Cricetulus griseus: one gene and its partners. The protein of the gene in region 1 binds, or shares a complex with, the protein of each later gene. Links are inferred from orthologs where the notes say so. Each region holds a gene or a part of one and is shown in the gene's direction. Other genes may lie near its edges.

Region 1 (5,282 bases):
GTAATATTCCATTGTGTGGCAAACCACGTGTGTTCAGCCATTTGTGAGCTGATGGGCATTTGAGTTGTTTCCGTCTTTTGACTACGGTGCAAAATGTTGCTGTGGACACTTCGAGTTTTTGTGGTGTTGGATTATTTGCGTTCTCTGGGAATATCCTTAGGAGTGGGTCCCCAGTTCTGCAGTGACTCCGCCCCCTTCTGTCCTCACTCTCTAGCCTGGCTGAGTAGAGGAGCAGTGAGGCCCCCACCCTTGTGAGATGCCCTGGTTAGCCAGCACAGAGAACTACGTAAAGAAGAAAGGACAGGGACTTCTGCTAGACCAGCATGTGTGACCCAAAGCTCCTGCTTAAGCACACCGCTGGCTGGAGAGGTGGCTCAGCACTTAGAATTGCACACCGCTGGCTGGAGAGGTTTGCAGTTTGATCCTCAACACCCACTTCAGGTGGCTCATGGCCACCTGTAACTCCAACTCCGGGTATCCCACAAATTGGTATCCTCTGACCCCTGGGGGGGCACCTACACACATGTGCACTTACCCACATACAGATACACGTGCATACACATAATTAAAACTAAAAATACGTCGTTTTTAAAACCACCTCTGGGAACCACTCCAGAGCCACTGAAACAGGAGGTCTGAGCCAGGTGCAACAGGGTGGGTCCCCTGAGTTCCTGACCAGGTGTTGGCCATGCCAAGCACACAGCGGTGCTTAAAACTCTAAGAAATAAAGGGTGTGTATTAAAAGGTCCCATGAGTCATTAGCCAGAGTTAAGTTCTGTTTTCTCTACTTGGGCTCAGGCTTTGCATATTCAGGGGAGGCTACAAAGCTAAGATCTGTCCCTGCTCAATCCAAAGCAAGGGCACAAATGCATGCTTTGCGTTCTGCAGCCACATGCTCCTTGAAAGGCCAGGCCGTCCCCCTGTGGGTCCCAGGCACCAGGCTGCAAGAAATTTAACTGCCCTCTCCCAACCTCTCTTGCACCCAATTTGCTTGAAAAGGGTCCCAGGCTATCTGGAGCACAGGGCCTCAGGCCAACAAACCCTGCTGCCTAAGTGGGCTGCTGGCAGGAGGAACAGAGCTAGGTCTGTGCTGGCTTCCGTAGGCGGCGCCTGTGTGACCTTCCAGGACATCCTTGGTAAAGGCACCAACTCTATCCTCCCAACTGCTGTGCCCAGGTCCAGTTCTACCCTCGGGGACTGGGTCCTCCTTTTGCATTAGGCCTGAGCTCATGGGGGTCTAAGGTTTTGCTGGCCTGTGGAGTAAGCATACAGGGAGGAGGGGCTACACTATAGGGTCATGTGGCTGATTCCCACCATGGGAAGCCAGAGTTTCTGTGACAAGATCTTGCCAGTGCATACCGTTTGTTCATTGGGTTTTTTTGTTTGTTTGGTTGCTTGCTTGCTTGCTTGCTGGCTTTTGATCTTCAGCACTTAACCAGGTTCAGGCTTTGAGTACTTTGCCTGCCAAGCTTGGCCTAGAACACATCTTCAGATCTTTATTCCTGAGGGTGGTGAAGTCTGAGAGGCTGCCCAGTGAGCCTAAGGTGTCACTCTTATCAGCTGTCCCCAAAGGTGGAACACAGGCTTGGAGGTGGCTCAACCAGTGCCTGAGGTGTAGGACCTGAGTTCAGATCTCCAGGTGTAGCCACATACAAAGCCAGGCGTGGTGGCGTGTGCCCCAGTGCTTGGAGAAGGGGTCAAAGACAAGTGGATCCCTGAGACTGGATAGCCAGCCAGCCTAGCCGAATCAGTGAGCTCTAGGTTCAGTGAGAGACCTTCCTTATGCTAAGGATGGGTATGGTAGGGTAGCCTAGGTCATTCATTCATTCATTCATTCATTCATTCATTCCAGAAGACGGGTGCCCGATGTAAAATAAGTACTAACCTGTACTGCTCGGTCCCTTGGTGTCTTTGACCCGGCCTCTTTCCTGGGTCGTCATGTCACAGTGGTTGCTTTATGTCCCCTTTCCTGGTACCTTGGCCCTGAGCAGATAGAGATGAACACTAGCTCCTGACACACACACACACCTGAGCCAACGTTGCCTGCCCAGCTTGTGGCTGCAGGTCAGCCTGGAGCTGCCAGCACCAGCCCCTAGGGACCAGCAGGGCAGGTGGTTGTGCACCCTGCTCATGAATAATGACTCCAGCACTGCCTCTCGCTGGCCACTCACTGGCTCAGCAGGAGCCTCTGGCACCCCATGTGCAGAGCCAGGAGCCAGGCAGGAGGAACTGGAGAAGCAGCTGCTCCCTGAGACCCCCCAGAGCGGCCACCCCACGGAATACATCCAGCAGCGAGGTCATGAAGAAGGGATTCCACTCCTGTTAGAGGAAGGCGACTGTGCCCATCAGTCGTGGGTCCTGTGCCGCCCAGTCCAGAAGTGCACTCTTGGAGACTGCCGGGGACGTGGAACAGCCAGGACCAGAGCAGGGTGGCACAGGGAAAGCCAGGAGGGAACGGGGGTGGGGATGTGAGGCATGGCTCCTCCCTGCTGGACCTCCAGCTCCCCGCTCCATCTTCGACTCCTCTCAGACAAGGGCTCATCTAGCATCATCTGGAAATTTGATGCCCTCCACTCGGCTGCACAGGCTGGTCCTCTCTTGCCCTCAGAAATCCTCTCTCTGAGCGCGCTCCCCGCCACTTTTTCACCTCCGGGGATAAAGTCTCATCAGAGACAGGGAAGGACTCCTAAGGAGCCAGTGACTTCTGAATCCGGCAGGAGCTGAGCCCGGCCTCAACATGCAGGTGTCCTTTGTGTGCTCGGAGCACAGCCTCAAGACACGCAGCCCTGAAGATCGTCTGGGCCGCACGGCAGCCGGCAGTCCCAGCCCGGGTACTCGTGGACGTTTCCGGGCCGTGGCTATGGTCGCCCGGAGCCTGGGACAGCTGTCCGTGCAGAGTGCCCCAAACAGCAACGACACCAGCACCAGCGTGAAGCAGCCAGGGATGAAATATAGGTAGGCTGAGCAGCCAGTTCTGTGGGGAGGGGACTGGCCTTCCCACATTTCTGCAAATCTCGCCAAAAGACAGCTGGGGCAGTTTGTACAGGGGGTCTCTTAGCCCTGGTAGACTTGCTAAAAAGTAAGTTGAGACTTGATCAAGTCCAAGTCTCTTCTCCTTGGCTCCAGAGGAGGGTGGTATATAGTCACCGTCTTCCTTCTCTGTGTTTTTATCTCTTTTCTGGACTCAGATCCTATAGTAAGTCACCTCATCAGACGTCAGTCACTGTTTGACCCCAGGGCATCAGCCATACCCCACTCCCTGCTACCCCCCATTTCTGCTAAGATCACAGGTCCTTCTCGCTCCCAGGTAAGACTCAGAGCCCTAGGACCTGAGCAACTGGGCACCTGAAGAATATGCTCTGAGGAAAGGGGGATGGGGCCCCGCTCCATGTGGAGTCTCCAGGGAAAGGGATCTTCCTCGGGTTTGTGCAGGCTGAGCAGGTCAAGGGCATGCTCTGGCACCCAGGCAGCCTATTGGGAAGGGCTTCTTGAAGCTGAAGTGGGAGCAGTTAGTTCCCAGTGACCTCGGACAGTCCAAGCACGGGCGGTCCCCGCAGACTGCAGGATGGTCCCCTAAGTTCCTAGCTGGTATCACGATGAGCTTAAACCTCCCTAGGACCAGATATATAGGAGCCCCCTTCCCTGAGGCTGAGGCTGCATCATGGTAAGCGCTGGCATGAGGCTGGGGTCCTGCATCTGCACTCAAACCTCCTGGCCTCTCCAGGTCCTCGGGATGTTAGGTGTTCTTCAGCAATCTTGGGTAAAGAACTCTTTTTCTGTCCTATGAGCTTGGTGGGGACAATCAGAATGGAATTCTTTGTGCTGGATAAACTCTCTGTGGTGTGTATCTTTGTTTCGGCAACCATTAAAAGCTAGGGCTAAATAGGAGTATGTGTGTATATGTGTATGTACATATGTGTGTATGTATGTATGTATGTATGTATGTATGTATTTGTTGAGATTCTTGTTACCTGGTATGACTTTGAAGTCAGAGATTTGCCAGGACTGAACACTAGTGTATCTGTTTCCACACATGTAGAGCTCTAAGTGAAAGGAAAAGTGGATCTGAAGAGCCCAAGTGCTCCCAATGATCATGTGTGCATAGTGTTCATGCGCATGTCTGTGTGTGTATGTTCCTGCATGTGTGTCTGTGTGCATGTGTGTCTGTGTATCTGTGTGCATGCGTCTGAGTGTATACCCATGTGCGTCTATGTGCACACATGCCTATATTTGTGGTTTCGTACTTGTGTCTGTGTGCGTGTACGTGTGCGTGTGTGTGTGTGTGTGTGTGTACATGCATACACTAAAAACAGGAATGGTGAGACCCAGCAGTGAAAGGCTTTCAGTCTGGGGACCTGGGTTCAAATCCCAGCCCCAGCTCTTCTCAGATGCAGTGCCCCATCTGTGGAATGACAGAGTAGGGCCTTCCCCCAGAGCAGGACCTGGTTGTCTGTTCTTGATGTCATCTGGAGGGATGGGGACCATACCCCTGTAAAGGATGTGCAGCTTTCTAAAGCAGAAAGAACAGATATGTAACACAGGGTCCACGGGTCCCTTTAAAGAGCCACTCTGCTATCGGCCCCCGTGGGTATCAGCCTCACAAGTGGCCACACAGTGACTGCCTCAAGGCCACATCCAACATGTTAGTTAGGGCCATGGGGACCAAGGATGGGCTGATCCTGGCACGTCCACCTCCCCGTCCCCACAGACACTCCGGGCATACTTGTCCATTGAAGCTTCGCAGCTCTTGCCTTGCTTGGGGATGAGGGTCTGGTCTTGAACGTGTACCTGCTCATTTCCCAATGGTACCAAAATCGTTGTCCCTCAGCTAACACTCCCTTGGGACTCCATTCTAGGCCAAAGATAAAGACAGGAAGGGCTCAGGCTTGACCTTGGGCATCCAGAGTCTGGGAGCAGGGAAGACCTGTGCATAGCTCCACACCCAGTACAGGAGACCAAGCTGTCAGGAGAAAGATGCCACCAGAACCCCGGTCCCTCTCACTCCTTAGCCATAGTGAGAGTAGAGCGCCTTGCCCTTACTGGAGCCAGCCTTTGTCCTCCTCCCTGGCAGCTGAAATGAAAAGCCCAGAACTCTTTTTTAAAGACTTTCCTGGGGCCTTGCCTCCCAGACCCTTCCTGAAGCCTGAGGCACAGCTGTTGGAGCTGGAGTCAATCTGCATTGCCTCTGGCCAAGGTGATGCCTGAGAGGCCTCCAAACCTCAGGAGAGAGACAAAAAAACACTGAGAAAGGCTTAGGGGCTTTGACCAATTCTCTTATAATT
Region 2 (5,361 bases), on another chromosome or scaffold:
AGGTGGCCATCACACAACATCTTGCTCTGAACTTGTGTGTTTAAAATGGACTTACAGGGTTGCCCAGTGTTTTCATCTGACAATATACTTAACTCTGCAGTGACAAGCATGGGGCTGGATGTAAGGTTGAAGATAAAGAATGGTAAAGAATCCAGTGCTTCTTATACCCCAGCAAGTGCTGGCTGTAAAAAGCTGTAGGGTGACTATACTGCCTGCTCAGTTTCCCCTCACTCCTCGGCAACACGAATAAATAAATTACCCAGAGACTGATTATTGGCGTTCAAGCTGAAGATCTGGGAAGCAAGGCAGCCAACCTCCACCTCTAGATCAGGCTAAAAGGGCTGATCCACACATGAGCTCTTCACCAAATCTCAAACAGCTGCCTCTCCTCAGTGTGGCTGAAGAACAAATGCCTGAGACCTTGCTTCTGTCTTACATATTTCCCTAATGTTAGGATTAATGGTGTGAGCTATTATTCGCTTTTAGATTGGTTCACTCTTGTGTAGATCTGGGTGGCCTTGAACTCACAGAGATCTGTCTATCCTGAGTCCTAGGATTAAAGGTATGTACCACCATGTCCTATCTTCTGGCTGCTGGGAATAAAGGTGTGTGCCTGGCTTCTATGGCTTGTGGATGACTTTGCTTTCTGAATACTCAGGCAAGCTTTAATAAATCATAAACAATGTATCACCACACTCCTCATCCCAGGTATCACAGTGTGGTACTGAATTCAACAGAAAAAAAATGTGCCTGGAGCAGACAGAAATACATACAAAGCATCAATTGTTGGGGAATTCAACTCAACTATTGAGTTCCCATGATTCCCAAGGTGCGTTGAAGGTTGCTAAGAACAGAATTTGGGCAAGCCCATTCTATCATTGAGTTTGGTGGCTGGGAGAGGTGGTAGCAAAGAATGGCAACAAATCACTCTTACATCAAATTGAATCATCAGCTCACTTCCAGGAATGAGTAGATGTCTAGACGTCAATTCCTCTTTTGCAAATGATTGCAATGATTCAAAACAGAATTTTGTAATGCTAGTGCTTATACTTGGGGTACCTAAAATATCTGGTAACAGAAATTAGGCTTAAGCCTAATTAAGCAACCACAACAATTTGGAGAAAAAGTTTAAAGGGGGTAAATGTTTTCTCTAGGCCCAAATCAAGCAAGAGGGGAACAATGAAGGCTTTTCCACATTAGCAGCTAAAGCAAGTCCCACCACAAGGGCAGGTGGCATTGTATTAAATAAAATCTAGGTTCCAGCCTGCTCATGTCTGTCCCACAGCAGACAAATAATTGAGTTATCTAACCACACAGATGAGGTGTGATGGATTTTCTTTAACATTCCCCTTCTTATTTTCCTACTGAAAGTAAATTGGACTTTTAAACTCAGGCTGCCCTCGCTAATCCCAACCAGGAACTTAGTCCTGATTCTGTCCAGGGTGAACCAGCCTTTACAAAAGTGAAGTCTCTGAATGCCTTTAAGGACCCTTTCTTTAGACCCCTGTGAAGACTTCAGACCCTATGTACCCATTAATTCAGTTGGGCTTCCTGTCCAAACACAATCCTTTACAGCACCTAAACACGGGGTTCTAGCAATCTTCTACCCTCCAAAATCGGGATGCTGGCCCCAGACTCACCTCTTGCCCACGCTAACCTCTTAGCCTTCGCTCTCTCCTCCCACAACATTCTGGGTCAGGAGCCCTGGCACCTCCTGGCCCTCCTTCCACCTTTGTCTGCTCCCTACTCTCCTGGAACTTGCCCTTCCTCCTGCCCAGGCAAAGTGTGAAGGGCCAGGAGGCCTGAATCCGAGGGCCGAGGTGTGGTCCTTGAACAGATCCAACAACCCTGAGATTGGGACTCGGCCACGCGCGGGAAGGGAATGCACGCTGTCCAAAAGCAAGTGCAGCCCAGGAATGAGGAGGCCAAGCCCAAGCAGCTGGGTTTTTCCAGGGCCGGTCTGGCCGGGTAGCGAGAGGTTCAGGAGGGTCTGGGGAAGAGGGTGCAAATTGGAAGAGATCCAGTGACAAAGAACCGCAAGGAGCGCGGCCGGGAAGCGGGAGGCGGGGCGCGTGCGCGGTGGGCGGGAAACCCGGGGGCGGCGGCGAGGCGGGCGCGCGCCCCGCGGGGAGGGGTGCGGAGGAGGGAGGAGGCGTCTGGACCGTGCAGCCCCGCGCGCCGAGCCAGCTCCAGACAGAGCATCGCTGCAGCCGCCGCAGCAACAGGCGGCGGGCCGGGCTCGCGGGGCGGAGGCGGCGGTGGGGCGGGGAGCTCGAGGAGGAGCGACTCGGGGCCGGCCACCTCCTGCAAGGAAGAAGAGCACCGCCGCCTCCCGCGCTCGGCCACCGCAGCCCTCCACCCGCCACCGCGCCCACCCTGCGCAGGACCCCGCGAGCGGCGGGCGCGCGCACCCTGCAGAGCCCCGGCCGCGCCGAGCTGCCGCCAGACATGACCGTGGTGCCCGGGGACCACCTGCTGGAGCCAGAGGCGGCGGGTGGCGGCGGTGGGGACCCGCCTCAGGGAGGCTGTGGTGGTGGTGGTGGTGGCGGTGGCTGCGACCGCTACGAGCCGCTGCCGCCCGCGTTGCCCGCCGCGGGCGAGCAGGACTGCTGCGGGGAGCGCGTGGTCATCAACATCTCGGGGCTGCGCTTTGAGACGCAGCTCAAGACCCTCTGCCAGTTCCCAGAGACGCTGCTGGGCGACCCCAAGCGGCGCATGCGGTACTTCGACCCGCTCCGCAATGAGTACTTCTTCGACCGCAACCGACCCAGCTTCGACGCCATCCTCTACTACTACCAGTCCGGGGGCCGCATCCGCCGGCCGGTCAATGTGCCCATCGACATCTTCTCCGAGGAGATCCGCTTCTACCAGCTGGGCGAGGAAGCCATGGAGAAGTTCCGTGAGGACGAGGGCTTCCTGCGGGAGGAGGAGCGGCCCCTGCCCCGCAGAGACTTCCAGCGCCAGGTGTGGCTGCTCTTCGAATACCCCGAGAGCTCGGGGCCGGCCCGGGGCATTGCCATCGTGTCGGTGCTGGTCATCCTCATCTCCATTGTCATCTTCTGCCTGGAGACCCTGCCCGAGTTCCGCGACGAGAAAGACTACCCCGCCTCCCCGTCGCAGGAAGTGTTCGAGGCCACCAGCAACAGCACGTCGGGGGCCGCCTCTGGAGCCTCCAGCTTTTCGGACCCCTTCTTCGTGGTGGAAACCCTGTGCATCATCTGGTTCTCCTTTGAGCTGCTAGTGCGGTTCTTCGCTTGCCCCAGTAAAGCCACCTTCTCCAGAAATATCATGAACCTCATAGACATTGTGGCCATCATTCCTTATTTCATCACTCTGGGCACTGAGCTGGCTGAGCGACAGGGTAATGGGCAGCAGGCAATGTCTTTGGCCATCCTGAGGGTCATCCGCTTAGTAAGGGTCTTCCGCATCTTCAAGCTCTCCCGCCACTCCAAGGGGCTGCAGATCCTGGGGCAGACACTGAAGGCTTCCATGCGAGAGCTGGGGCTGCTCATCTTCTTCCTCTTTATAGGAGTCATCCTTTTCTCCAGTGCAGTCTACTTTGCTGAGGCAGACGACCCTTCTTCGGGTTTTAACAGTATCCCGGATGCCTTCTGGTGGGCAGTGGTAACCATGACAACTGTGGGTTACGGTGATATGCACCCAGTGACCATAGGAGGCAAGATTGTGGGCTCTCTTTGCGCCATCGCAGGTGTCTTGACCATTGCACTGCCAGTTCCTGTAATTGTTTCCAACTTCAATTACTTCTACCACCGGGAGACAGAAGGGGAAGAGCAAGCCCAGTACATGCACGTGGGAAGTTGCCAGCACCTCTCCTCTTCAGCTGAGGAGCTCCGAAAAGCCCGGAGTAACTCCACCCTGAGTAAGTCGGAGTATATGGTGATCGAAGAGGGGGGTATGAACCACAGCGCTTTCCCCCAGACCCCTTTCAAAACGGGCAACTCCACTGCCACTTGCACCACGAACAATAATCCCAACTCCTGTGTCAACATTAAAAAGATATTCACTGATGTCTAATATACGATTCAGTTGACAAACTATGCCCAGTATTATGTGGAACGTGCCCCCTTGGTCTGTGTGTGCCCTTGATTTATACATTTCCAGACCATTCATCAAGGAACGGACGTGAAGAGGTGGAAAAGCACACTTCATCCTCCCTCTCCCTATTGCTTCATACTGTGTTTAAACAGGTGCCTGTTCTGCAAGTGGGCTGCATTCTCTCAGCTCTCTCTCTCTCTCTCTCTCTCTCTCTCTCTCTCTCTCTCTCTCTCTCATTCTCTCTCTTTCTCTGTGTGTGTCTCTCTCTGTCTCTCTTCTCTCTCTCTCTCTCTCTCTCTCTCTCTCTTCTCTCTCTCTCTCTCTCTCTCTCTCTCTCTCTCTCTCTCTCTGTCTCTCTCTCTCTCTCTCTCTCTCTCTCTCTCTCTCTCTCTCTCTCTCTCTCTCTCTCTCTCTCTCTCTCTCTCTCCTCTCTCTCTTTCCCCCGTCTTTTAATTTTGTAACCAACAAGCTTACATTAAAGCTTGGTTTCTAGTGCACGCCCTATGAAAAACTACATCCTGGGAGGAAATGAAACTAAAGTGTCAGAGTAACTGTTTAACCTCAAAATCAAAAGATAGTTGTTTCTTTACTAAGTAAAGGAGGCAGAACTTAAATGATGCTCCTGTTTGGTGGACCTTTCATTGTTATTTGACTGTTTAGTTTAATTATCCAGCCTTTGGATATGTGGACAGAAAGTCTAAAGCAATGACTTATAAACCCACCATGAATTTATTTTGTTTTTGACTGGTCTTTCAGTTTGAATCTCTCCTCTAAGAATTTGAGGTTCACAATAACTTTGAACCAAAAGGGAAATGGCCCAAATGTCCTGATCTGACTATTAACCCTTTGGAGTTTGCAAAGAATTTTTAAAGTATTACACACGAATTTCCAGTGAAGTTGCGAGTACAAGCCCCAACCAACATCTACAAAAGTCTAGAAACTCGTTTTCAGTGCTGCCAAGAGAAACAACAAAAATTCCTAATGCATGTGAGAGATAAGCTTATGTGGTGTCACAAGAAGATTAAAGTGGCAGACACCCCTTCCAGCGGAAGTTACTAATTCGGACCTGACTGATGCAGTTCCCATAGCAACCCATGTTTCCTGGGAAACCCGAAAAAGGTTGTCATGGCATCTTTTGCTCTTTAGCCCCACCCCCTCAGGCCTTGCCGTTTCCACAGTAACCTTTCCAGATGGTTCCTACTTACATGATTTCATAAGAAAAAAAAAAAAACACTATTTCAATAAATGGCATAAATTAAGTGTAAGACAACAAAGAAGTGAAATTAATCACAAAATGCTTTTACA
Region 3 (5,177 bases), on another chromosome or scaffold:
GGGCGCAGATTGGAGGTGGCTGGTGATGATGGGAAGTGCAGCTGACTGCATAGCCATGTCTGGTAAATAGTGGGTGGGTAGGACGCGAGTCACTTGGTCCTCCTGGTTGCATTTGCCTCTTGGCAACGGAGTAAAATAGGCTTTTCTGCAGTCGCTGTTTTTCCACTTGGCCTGGGTGGTGGGCTGCCGCGGAACCCCCTTGCCTAAGAGGAAGCTAGATCTGGGGCAGCTGCCTGGCGAAGCCTCCTCTGCACCTTTAGAGTTCAGGCTCCTGTGTTTTCCAGACGAGCCCTCGATAGTCCCTAAGCTGGACCTCGCTGGCACTAGCTAGGCTGCCCTCGGGCCCGCAGCGGGAGCCCACCGCACTGCGCAGGAAGGGGTTAAGGTGGTACACTCAAGCCGGCGGATAGCTGCAGGCTCCGGTCAGCCGCGCGGATTCCGGCGGGAGCGCGCCCGGCGGAATCCCGGCTGGAGCTCCTGGCGATGCGAGAGGGCCTAGACCCCTCCCCGCCCTGGGGCCAGCGGGATTGGGTCGGCGGGGGGCCAGCCCGGAAGCCAGCTTCCTCTAGGCTCCCTCTCTCCAAGAAGCCAATCCGCCTTGCAGCCAGCCAGGCAGTTTGAGCGTTTGTTCTGTGCTTCCCTGCGGAGATGTGAGTGATTTTCTCTTGGGAAGAAATCGGTGGTCCAGCGCCTGCCCAGTTCAAATGCCACCCAATCCAGAGCAAGGCCTGAGGCTCAGGGATCCCCTGAGGCCCAGGGATCCTGGAGGGAGAGTAAGTTCAGCGACCATAGCTATCCAGCATTCTACTGAGGCGATCTGGCTGTGTGCAGGGTCTCTCGAGCTGGGCAAGAGTGTGTGTTGGAGGAGGAAGGATTGCTTCTTCATGGGACATAGCTAAGGTCAGAGAGGAAAAGCCTCCCCTTGGGGGATAGGTGTTCTGACACCAGGGTGGAGAAAGCTGGGTGGCTCCTGGTGGCAGCAGAGGACTAAGCGGAGAAAAGTGCTTCAAGCTGATGGGAAAGGCTTACCCAGGAGAGGCTAGAAAGGTACAGGGCAGTTCTCTGTCACTAGCACCATGGAAAGTAGGCACGGGGGCTTGCAACTTGCAGAGAGGGTATCTGCCAGAGTCCTTCTAAGTCTTGGTTCCAGCTGCCTGAAAGCCCTGGTTTCCACCTTGCTGCTGTGTTTTCCAGGCAACGTCACACCTCCTGAGGACAGCCAGGAGTTCTCTGGCTTTTGCTGAGCTGTGCATCTTACCTCCTTCCTTCCAAAGACTTCAGACCCAGGCTTCACTCTTCTCAAGTCCTGAATGCCCCTTGCCAAGCATCCAACTGTCCCTCCAGCCCTATCCAGTCCTAGAGCACACCTCCAGGATCTGGAGCCTGCCCTCCTGCTCAGAATGACTCACCATTATTTCCAGCCCAAGTGAGAAGATGTGACAGGGAGTTGAGCTGCCTGTTTGGGTATCTAGGATTCCTGTGGCATCTGACCTGCTCTTCAAGGAAGAGAACCTCAGGCTTCTCCTGCCTGGACAGGTAAACCAATAAACCAATAACAGCCATATAGAGTTATTGAGGGTGATATCAGGGATAAAGACCCTGGACCCAAACACCCTACCATAAATACTTCCTGTAGTGCAGGTGTTGGCAAGACATTAGCACAGTGCCTGGCAGAGGGCTCTCTTCTTGCCTCCCCCCTATGGAGCTGGAGCCTGTCTAGGTCACCTGCCCCCAGTGCAGGCCATTCTATATTTGAAAGATTGTTCCCTGAACCCCACTGATCCCTAGACAAGTTGCAAAGTAGCTACAGTGGCAGGGATGGTGATATGGTCTTGTTTCTGAACTCTTAGCTAAGATGGGGGACACCAAGTACAGTTCATGTCAGGTTGCCAGTGACTGGTGGTCTCACATCCTTACCTGCCTTTGTCTTTCAGCCAAGCGAGGCTGTGTCTCCAGCTCTCAGAGGGCTCTGGGGCTCTCCTGCAGGAGCACAGACTAATGCTTCTGTGTTTTCTGGGGCCCAGTTACCAGCACCCTGAGCCCCCTGCTGCAAGCAGCTGGAAGGCATAGAGTAAAGTACTCTCCTCAGCCCCAATTATGACAGTGGCTACCGGAGACCCAGTGGATGAGGCTGCTGCCCTCCCTGGACACCCACAGGACACCTATGACCCAGAGGCAGACCACGAGTGCTGTGAGAGGGTGGTGATCAACATCTCAGGCCTGCGGTTTGAGACTCAGCTAAAGACCTTAGCCCAGTTTCCAGAGACCCTCTTAGGGGACCCCAAGAAGCGGATGAGGTACTTCGATCCCCTCCGAAATGAATACTTTTTTGATCGCAACCGCCCTAGCTTCGATGCCATTTTGTACTACTACCAGTCTGGGGGCAGGTTGAGGCGACCTGTGAATGTGCCCTTAGATATATTCTCTGAAGAAATCCGGTTTTATGAGCTAGGAGAAGAAGCAATGGAGATGTTTCGAGAGGATGAAGGCTACATCAAGGAAGAAGAGCGTCCTCTGCCTGAAAATGAGTTTCAGAGACAGGTGTGGCTTCTCTTTGAATACCCTGAGAGCTCAGGGCCTGCCAGGATTATAGCCATTGTATCCGTCATGGTCATTCTGATCTCAATCGTCAGCTTCTGTCTGGAAACCTTGCCCATCTTCCGGGATGAGAATGAGGACATGCATGGTGGTGGGGTGACCTTCCACACCTACTCCAACAGCACCATTGGGTACCAGCAGTCCACATCCTTCACCGACCCTTTCTTCATCGTAGAGACTCTCTGCATCATCTGGTTCTCCTTTGAGTTTCTGGTGAGATTCTTTGCCTGTCCCAGCAAAGCTGGCTTCTTCACCAACATCATGAACATTATAGACATTGTGGCTATCATCCCTTACTTTATCACCCTGGGGACAGAGTTAGCTGAGAAGCCAGAGGACGCCCAGCAAGGCCAGCAGGCCATGTCACTGGCCATTCTCCGTGTCATCCGTTTGGTAAGAGTCTTTAGGATTTTCAAGTTGTCCAGACACTCCAAAGGTCTGCAGATCCTAGGTCAGACCCTCAAAGCCAGCATGAGGGAATTGGGCCTCTTGATATTCTTCCTGTTCATTGGGGTCATCCTCTTCTCTAGTGCTGTCTATTTTGCAGAAGCTGATGAGAGAGATTCCCAGTTCCCCAGCATCCCGGATGCTTTCTGGTGGGCAGTCGTCTCCATGACAACTGTAGGCTATGGAGACATGGTTCCAACTACCATTGGGGGAAAGATAGTGGGATCCCTGTGTGCAATTGCAGGTGTGTTAACCATTGCCTTACCAGTCCCTGTCATAGTGTCTAATTTCAACTACTTCTACCATCGGGAGACAGAGGGAGAGGAGCAGGCCCAGTACTTGCAAGTGACAAGCTGTCCAAAGATCCCGTCCTCCCCTGACCTAAAGAAAAGTAGAAGTGCCTCTACTATAAGTAAGTCTGATTACATGGAAATACAGGAGGGAGTAAACAACAGTAATGAGGACTTTAGAGAGGAAAACTTAAAGACAGCCAACTGTACATTGGCTAACACCAACTATGTGAATATTACCAAAATGTTAACTGATGTCTGATGAAACCTATTGATGTGCTCACAGCTCAACAGGACTAATGCAGATGTTGCATAATAGCCTGCATTGTAGTCAGTGTTCCACAGTGTGCATCTGGTTCTGCATGGAAAGCAATAGTCGTGCAAGTGACTTTTGACCTTTTGATTTTTGATTTAGAACACAGAGTATTTATCATGGCTTTCATGAAATCTTCATCACTGACTTACAGGGTTCCAAAGATGGGAGTCACCTATGGAGCCAGTCTCAGACTGGAATAATGCAGCCCCCTCATAGCCCACACACCACCCATCGTAATCACCATCCTAGCTTCCTAACTAAATGCAAGCACACCTGGCGGGTGCATTCTCCCTACCACACCCTACTATCCCACTTTAGCCCACCTGTCCCCTCACAGAGGAACACCATCATGGCTGAGTTTGAGAGTTCTGGAGACTACTCCAAAGGTCATTCCCATTTTTGCATTGAAAAGAACAGACAGTCCTGTGTGTTAGAATTACTTTCTGTGTCATAGGCTGAGGTTTGTGAATTGCAGTTGCCAACTAGATGCTCCAGAGGCTTCTGTTTCGTAACGGAAATGCTGCATTCTGCTTTTTCTCTGCAGTATCAATGTGAGGAAAGCCCAGAGGGTGGGGGAGGGACAGTTAATACGACCAAATATGAGTTGTCAAGTTTTACATTTGTTCCCTTAGGCCTATGGGGAGAAGCTACCTAATTTTGGGACTTCTCAGTTTCAGATACCATTTTGCAAGCCTCAGGGTCACAGAACATGTTTGATTTCTTCTTTTACTCTGGAATTTGCAGACATATTCTTTCTTGATGGTGTGGCCCAGCTCCACTACACTGCAGTGGAGTATACCAGTCATGCAATAGAGCTGCATGGGTGTTCACTGCATGAAATCTCAATATTTAAAACACAGAAGATAACCTATTTTCCTAGTATCCTATTCAGTATTCATACATAGAGTATTAATAGCCTTGGGATGGTATTGAACTGGGTTTTCCCCCCACAGAAGGCAAAAGCCCTCCATCAGGGAAGCAAATAGACTATTTGGAATGGGGAACCAAAACTTCTGGCTGGCCCTCCAGCCCGCCCATCTCTGTTCTTTCAATGGGAGCAAAGACCCTGCCACACCAGGAGAATTGAACAGAAAAGTCAGAGTCTAAACACTCAGATGACTGAAACTTAAGAATTAGTCTAGTCAAGGGCATGACTACAAAGCTTACCAGGGCATTGATCCTGAGGACAGGCAGATCTGTGGGTTCAATGTATATAAATATATATCAGCTATCTATCTTTCTCATGTGTTCCTCTAGTAAGCTATAGAAAAATTGCATTTGAACATTGTATAAGCTTATGCAATATTTTGACACAGGGCAATTTATGCATGTGTTTGACTATGTGCACTAGAATATATATATACATACACAAATGTGTGTATATGTACATTATACACACACATATATATATATTCATTCTCTGGAGTTCAGATTCAGGAGCAAATCCATTGCTTGGTGGGTTGGTTGTATAAGAAGCCCAATGGGTATGGTAAAACCCACTGGACCTGGGTTTGCTGTCATTGCCT
Region 4 (4,918 bases), on another chromosome or scaffold:
CAGAGGTTCCGCTTGCGGTGGAAGGACCAGAGTTGCTGACTGCCTCCCCTGGTGCTGCTATCGCCACTGGGGATGCCTGCGCTGGTGCCCGGCTCAGGCGGCCTTGCGCCTCTGTAGGGCCCCTTGCACGAATGTGTCTAGAGCCTAGAAACTGGTCCTGAGGGGCAGAGGGCCACTGGGTGGGTGGGTGGGTGGGTGGGGGTGCGGGAGGCAGGACTGAGGGTGGAAGACAAACGGGCGACTTGCTTCTCCTCACATTTGTTCCAATTAGCACCAAGTTGGCAGACAACCCACAAACCCACGATGCCTTCGCCCCCCCCCCTTCCCTGCGTTTCAGAATATTCTGACTGTAAGGAAACTTCAGCTCCCTCTGGTAGGCTCAAAAGGAACAGACACTTGGCACCACCTTCTCGCAGTAACATTGCGTGGATGAAACACGGGGATCCTTAACTGCAGCGCTCTAACCAAACTCTGTACCCTTCAGAGTGCGGGTAGCGTGGAGGTAGGGGGTGCGGGGTAGTAGGGTGGGCGGGACAGAGGGGCCCCTGGAGGAGGGGAGGGATGGCGCCGAGAAGCGGGATGCCGGAGGATTGCTTGTGTGACTGCATCTGAAGCAGACTGGTCCAAGGAGTTCTGCCAGCGACATCGCCGCCTGCATTGCGTCGGACCTGACCATCTCCAATGTGAAATTCCCGGGGAAGGTCGCGCGCTCAGCTAAGGGCTGTGCGTGGGCGGGGCTGCGGGCCACCGAGGAAGAGGAGTTGGTGGTGGGCTTTTCGAGGAGGAGAGGAGGGAAAAAGAAGAAAAGCTATGCTGGCAAGGATGGGAACTGAATGACAACCCCCCTCTGCCAAACCACCCCCTCATATTTTCCATCTACCTCCTCGCTCCTGCCCTCCCCCGCCCTCCCCAACCCACGCCCTGGTGGGCCAATCGCTGCTCCGCATTCCAGGCGCTTTCTCAGGTTTCTGCTGATCTTGCAGCGCCCAGAAATGGACCGAGCGGACCTGCGGCCGCATGCTCCCTACTCCACTCCGATCTGCTGAAGGCTCCCGGCGCGCTGCAGAGCGAGGTCCGTGCGGTGGTGCGGAGACCCGATAGCCATGTAGAGCCAGGCTTTGGGCCGCCTGCCTCTCTCGGGATCGAATCAAGGGCTCCTGTAGTGTTCAGAGGGGGCGAGAGTGCTGCTTATCGCCATTTGCTTGGGTGACTCGGGAGAGGGTGGCCTTTTTGCTTTTCCATCCCGCATCCTCCGGAACTCTCTGCAGCGGAGAGAGGACCGAGCCCCCAGGTTGCCTGCACCATGTGAGGATGGGGGCAGGGAACGGACATTTCCTCCATAGCTGCTCAGTAAAACGATCGGACCCCTGAGAGGAGAAGGACGCGGACCACGAGGGGCCCAGTGCCTCTCGGATGCTGCTGTGGAGGTGGCTCGCTCCGACTGCTGCAAAGGAGACCTGCCGCATTCCGACTCTCCGCCGCCGACTCAGCACCGCCCCTGCGCCAAGCCGGCCCGCCAGGTAGGGAGCTCCACAGTTCCGGGGCTGCAGAATCCGAGGTTAGGATGACAGGGTGGGGGAGGTTGAGGGTGAGAAGTTGCTGCCCAGGACCCGGAGCTCCCCCAGCATCTCTAAGCGCTTTTCCGATCTCCAGTTTTTAACGAAGTTGTAAACGAATCGGCTGCTGGGCAGGGGGGGAAAGTGGGATGGAAGATTTCCAAACTTGGATTTCTGGGTGTCTGTTGTGTGTCTGTCTGTGCGTGTGTGTTAACCCCAGTAAAAGTCCGGTGTGTTCTACAAAAGCTAGTCGTCTGTGCTCTTCGGTGTCTATAGGTTCGTCCCATAGGAATGCTTCTGATTTTCTACCCTGGTATCACTTTTTATTTCTCTGCAGCGTCCATCGATCGCCCCGTGGGAGCTTAGAAGGCGGCAGGCGAAGAGGGGTAGGGGGGGAGAGCCAAGGAGCAGCAAAGGGGGTGACAGGCGTGGGGATCTGCTGAGTTGGCACTGCACCGGGTCCTAGGAAGGCTGCAGGAGGGGAGGGGTGCATTGGCGAGCCCCGGAGAGATGGCAGGTGTGCGTTAAGGCAGTCAGAGCAGGAAGAAAAAAACCCACCAACCCCAAAAACAGAGCACACCCCCAAAACCCAAACCTCTCGAAAAAGCCTCACTGGGGGCCCTCAGGCGAGAGGGCTTTCCAAATTGGGTAAAAGGCAGAGTGGAGGAGGGGGAGGTGGTAACTAGCAAAGTTGCAGACCTCTGAACCTTCTGGCCCCGAAGCCCCTCCCCGTGAGCGTGGGGGAGACTCACTCTCCGGTGGGGGGGCCGGTTGGGTCCCCCCCACCCCTCTTCCTTCGCTCCTTCACACCCCGGGCTCTCTCCTGGCCTCCCACCCCTGCACTCTGCTTCCATCATGACGGTGATGTCGGGGGAGAATGCGGACGAGGCTTCGGCCGCTCCGGGTCACCCCCAGGATGGCAGCTACCCACGGCAGGCGGACCACGACGACCACGAATGCTGCGAACGCGTGGTGATCAACATCTCCGGGCTACGCTTCGAGACGCAGCTCAAGACCCTGGCACAGTTCCCCAACACGCTGCTGGGCAACCCAAAGAAACGCATGCGCTACTTCGACCCCCTAAGGAACGAGTACTTCTTTGACCGCAACCGGCCCAGCTTTGATGCCATCCTTTATTATTACCAGTCAGGGGGCCGCCTGCGCAGGCCGGTCAACGTGCCCCTGGACATGTTCTCCGAGGAGATCAAATTTTACGAGTTGGGCGAGGAGGCCATGGAGAAGTTCCGGGAAGATGAGGGCTTCATCAAGGAAGAGGAGCGCCCCCTACCTGAGAAGGAGTACCAGCGCCAGGTGTGGCTGCTCTTTGAGTATCCGGAGAGCTCAGGGCCTGCCAGGGTTATCGCCATTGTATCGGTCATGGTCATCCTCATCTCCATAGTCATCTTTTGCCTGGAGACTCTCCCTGAGCTGAAGGATGACAAGGACTTCACGGGCACCATCCACCGCATCGACAACACCACAGTCATCTATACTTCCAACATCTTCACAGACCCCTTCTTCATTGTGGAGACCTTATGTATCATCTGGTTCTCTTTCGAGCTGGTGGTGCGCTTCTTTGCCTGCCCCAGCAAGACGGACTTCTTTAAGAACATCATGAACTTCATTGACATCGTGGCCATCATTCCTTATTTCATTACCCTGGGCACGGAGATAGCTGAGCAGGAGGGGAATCAGAAAGGCGAGCAGGCCACTTCCCTGGCCATCCTCAGGGTCATCCGCTTGGTAAGGGTGTTCAGAATCTTCAAACTCTCTCGCCACTCTAAGGGCCTCCAGATCCTGGGCCAGACCCTCAAAGCTAGCATGAGGGAGTTAGGGCTGCTCATCTTTTTCCTCTTCATTGGGGTCATCCTGTTTTCTAGTGCAGTGTACTTTGCCGAGGCGGAAGAAGCTGAGTCGCACTTTTCCAGTATCCCCGATGCTTTCTGGTGGGCGGTGGTGTCCATGACCACTGTGGGATACGGTGACATGTACCCTGTGACAATTGGAGGCAAGATCGTGGGCTCCTTGTGTGCCATCGCTGGTGTGCTGACAATTGCCCTGCCCGTACCTGTCATTGTGTCCAATTTCAACTATTTCTACCACCGAGAAACTGAGGGGGAAGAGCAGGCTCAGTTGCTCCACGTTAGCTCTCCTAACTTAGCCTCTGACAGTGACCTCAGCCGCCGCAGCTCCTCTACTATCAGCAAATCTGAGTACATGGAAATCGAAGAGGATATGAACAATAGCATAGCCCATTACAGACAGGCCAATATCAGAACTGGTAACTGCACCACAGCTGACCAAAACTGCGTTAATAAGAGCAAGCTCCTGACCGATGTTTAAAAAGCAACAGGCAAGCAAGCAAAAAGCCCCAAACAAAAGCCCTGGTGACTCATGTCCCGCTCTGTAGATACTTCACTAAACATTAGTCTTTGAATGCTTTATTTAACTGTCAATGCATTGTTGCATTGTGAATCTGGGGAGTGGCAAACCTGAGGCTTTCAAGATCCATTAAAAAAAACCCCTATTTTCATTTTATTAAAAATGAGAAAAGAAAGTATTTTCTAAAACTGGCTTCAGTGCTGTCCATTAAGGAGTCCATGTGAAATAAGACTCATGTTTCCCTGTACTGAAATATTTCCAATCTTTTGCCATAGGCTTTTTTTTTTTTAAAAAAAGAACACCTAAAAATCAGATGACCACTTAGGAATATAAGTTCAAATTTGCATGGGACTCCACCCTCAAATTTTTGCACACTGCACACCACATTTCAGATAGTGTACTCTGTGGAACACGTAACAGCCTCAGTGGTCAGTGAACAAATGCTTTTCTTTTGATCAACTGAATTGCATATAAGGCAACCAAAATCAGACTAATTAAGACTGGTTCCCAAAGCACCTTATACATCTGTTATTGGTCCCAGTCTGTTGGGATTTTCCATCTGCCCCATTCTCCTAAATACAGTCTATTCTCTAAGAAAAGGGTAACTTGATTAAACAAGTTGATTCATCTGTAGGGCTGCTAAGTTCTCTCAACTGCAGATGATCCAAATATAGGTCTTTTCTCACTAATCCTGCACCCTGACCCCTGACCTTCAGAAGTGGATGTAAAAACTTACCATCTTACCCTCCTTATTGCAAGAGCACAAGAGTTAAATGGTAAGCATGTTTGAATCTGATAACATTTATTTTATAATAGCATGCCGAGACAGTTAACCCAGACAATAGGGAATAAGCTTAAGTTGAAATTGACTCTTCTAAATATAGGCCCTTTTTCATTTGCATTCACCAAAAGTGCACTCCTTCATTTATTAACTCTTTTCTTAGCAACTAAAGTACTGTATTTAAGTGCATATGTTAGTC

The links.
Region 2: the proteins of Kcnab2 (region 1) and Kcna3 are in contact, whole or in part, in a cryo-EM structure (PDB 7EJ2), measured with the Homo sapiens proteins. The link is inferred for Cricetulus griseus from reciprocal best matches to the Homo sapiens genes KCNAB2 and KCNA3. Residues at the interface, in NP_001186789.1 of Homo sapiens: Met196, Tyr199, Ser200, Arg203, Glu231, His234, Lys235, Ile236; in NP_002223.3 of Homo sapiens: Pro133, Met137, Phe140, Pro142, Leu143, Asn145, Tyr147.
Region 3: the proteins of Kcnab2 (region 1) and Kcna2 are in contact, whole or in part, in a crystal structure (PDB 5WIE), measured with the Rattus norvegicus proteins. The link is inferred for Cricetulus griseus from reciprocal best matches to the Homo sapiens genes KCNAB2 and KCNA2. Residues at the interface, in NP_059000.1 of Rattus norvegicus: Met193, Met196, Tyr199, Ser200, Arg203, Glu231, His234, Lys235, Ile236; in NP_037102.1 of Rattus norvegicus: Asp28, Glu33, Pro62, Met66, Phe69, Asp70, Pro71, Leu72, Arg73, Asn74, Tyr76.
Region 4: the proteins of Kcnab2 (region 1) and Kcna1 are in contact, whole or in part, in a crystal structure (PDB 1EXB), measured with the Rattus norvegicus proteins. The link is inferred for Cricetulus griseus from reciprocal best matches to the Homo sapiens genes KCNAB2 and KCNA1. Residues at the interface, in NP_059000.1 of Rattus norvegicus: Met196, Tyr199, Ser200, Arg203, Glu231, Lys235, Ile236; in NP_775118.1 of Rattus norvegicus: Glu37, Met70, Phe73, Asp74, Pro75, Leu76, Asn78, Tyr80.

The regions. Positions count from the first base shown.
Region 1 is NC_048595.1:3,940,748-3,946,029, forward strand, and holds part of Kcnab2 (voltage-gated potassium channel subunit beta-2), read left to right. Parts: intron 1-2,717; coding exon 2,718-2,955; intron 2,956-5,282.
Region 2 is NW_023276806.1:50,097,260-50,102,620, reverse strand, and holds Kcna3 (potassium voltage-gated channel subfamily A member 3), read left to right. Parts: upstream 1-2,348; 5' UTR 2,349-2,448; coding exon 2,449-4,035; downstream 4,036-5,361.
Region 3 is NW_023276806.1:50,031,218-50,036,394, reverse strand, and holds Kcna2 (potassium voltage-gated channel subfamily A member 2), read left to right. Parts: upstream 1-2,097; coding exon 2,098-3,597; downstream 3,598-5,177. UniProt on the Homo sapiens protein: Voltage-gated potassium channel that mediates transmembrane potassium transport in excitable membranes, primarily in the brain and the central nervous system, but also in the cardiovascular system.
Region 4 is NC_048601.1:19,841,602-19,846,519, forward strand, and holds Kcna1 (potassium voltage-gated channel subfamily A member 1), read left to right. Parts: upstream 1-2,411; coding exon 2,412-3,899; downstream 3,900-4,918. UniProt on the Homo sapiens protein: Voltage-gated potassium channel that mediates transmembrane potassium transport in excitable membranes, primarily in the brain and the central nervous system, but also in the kidney.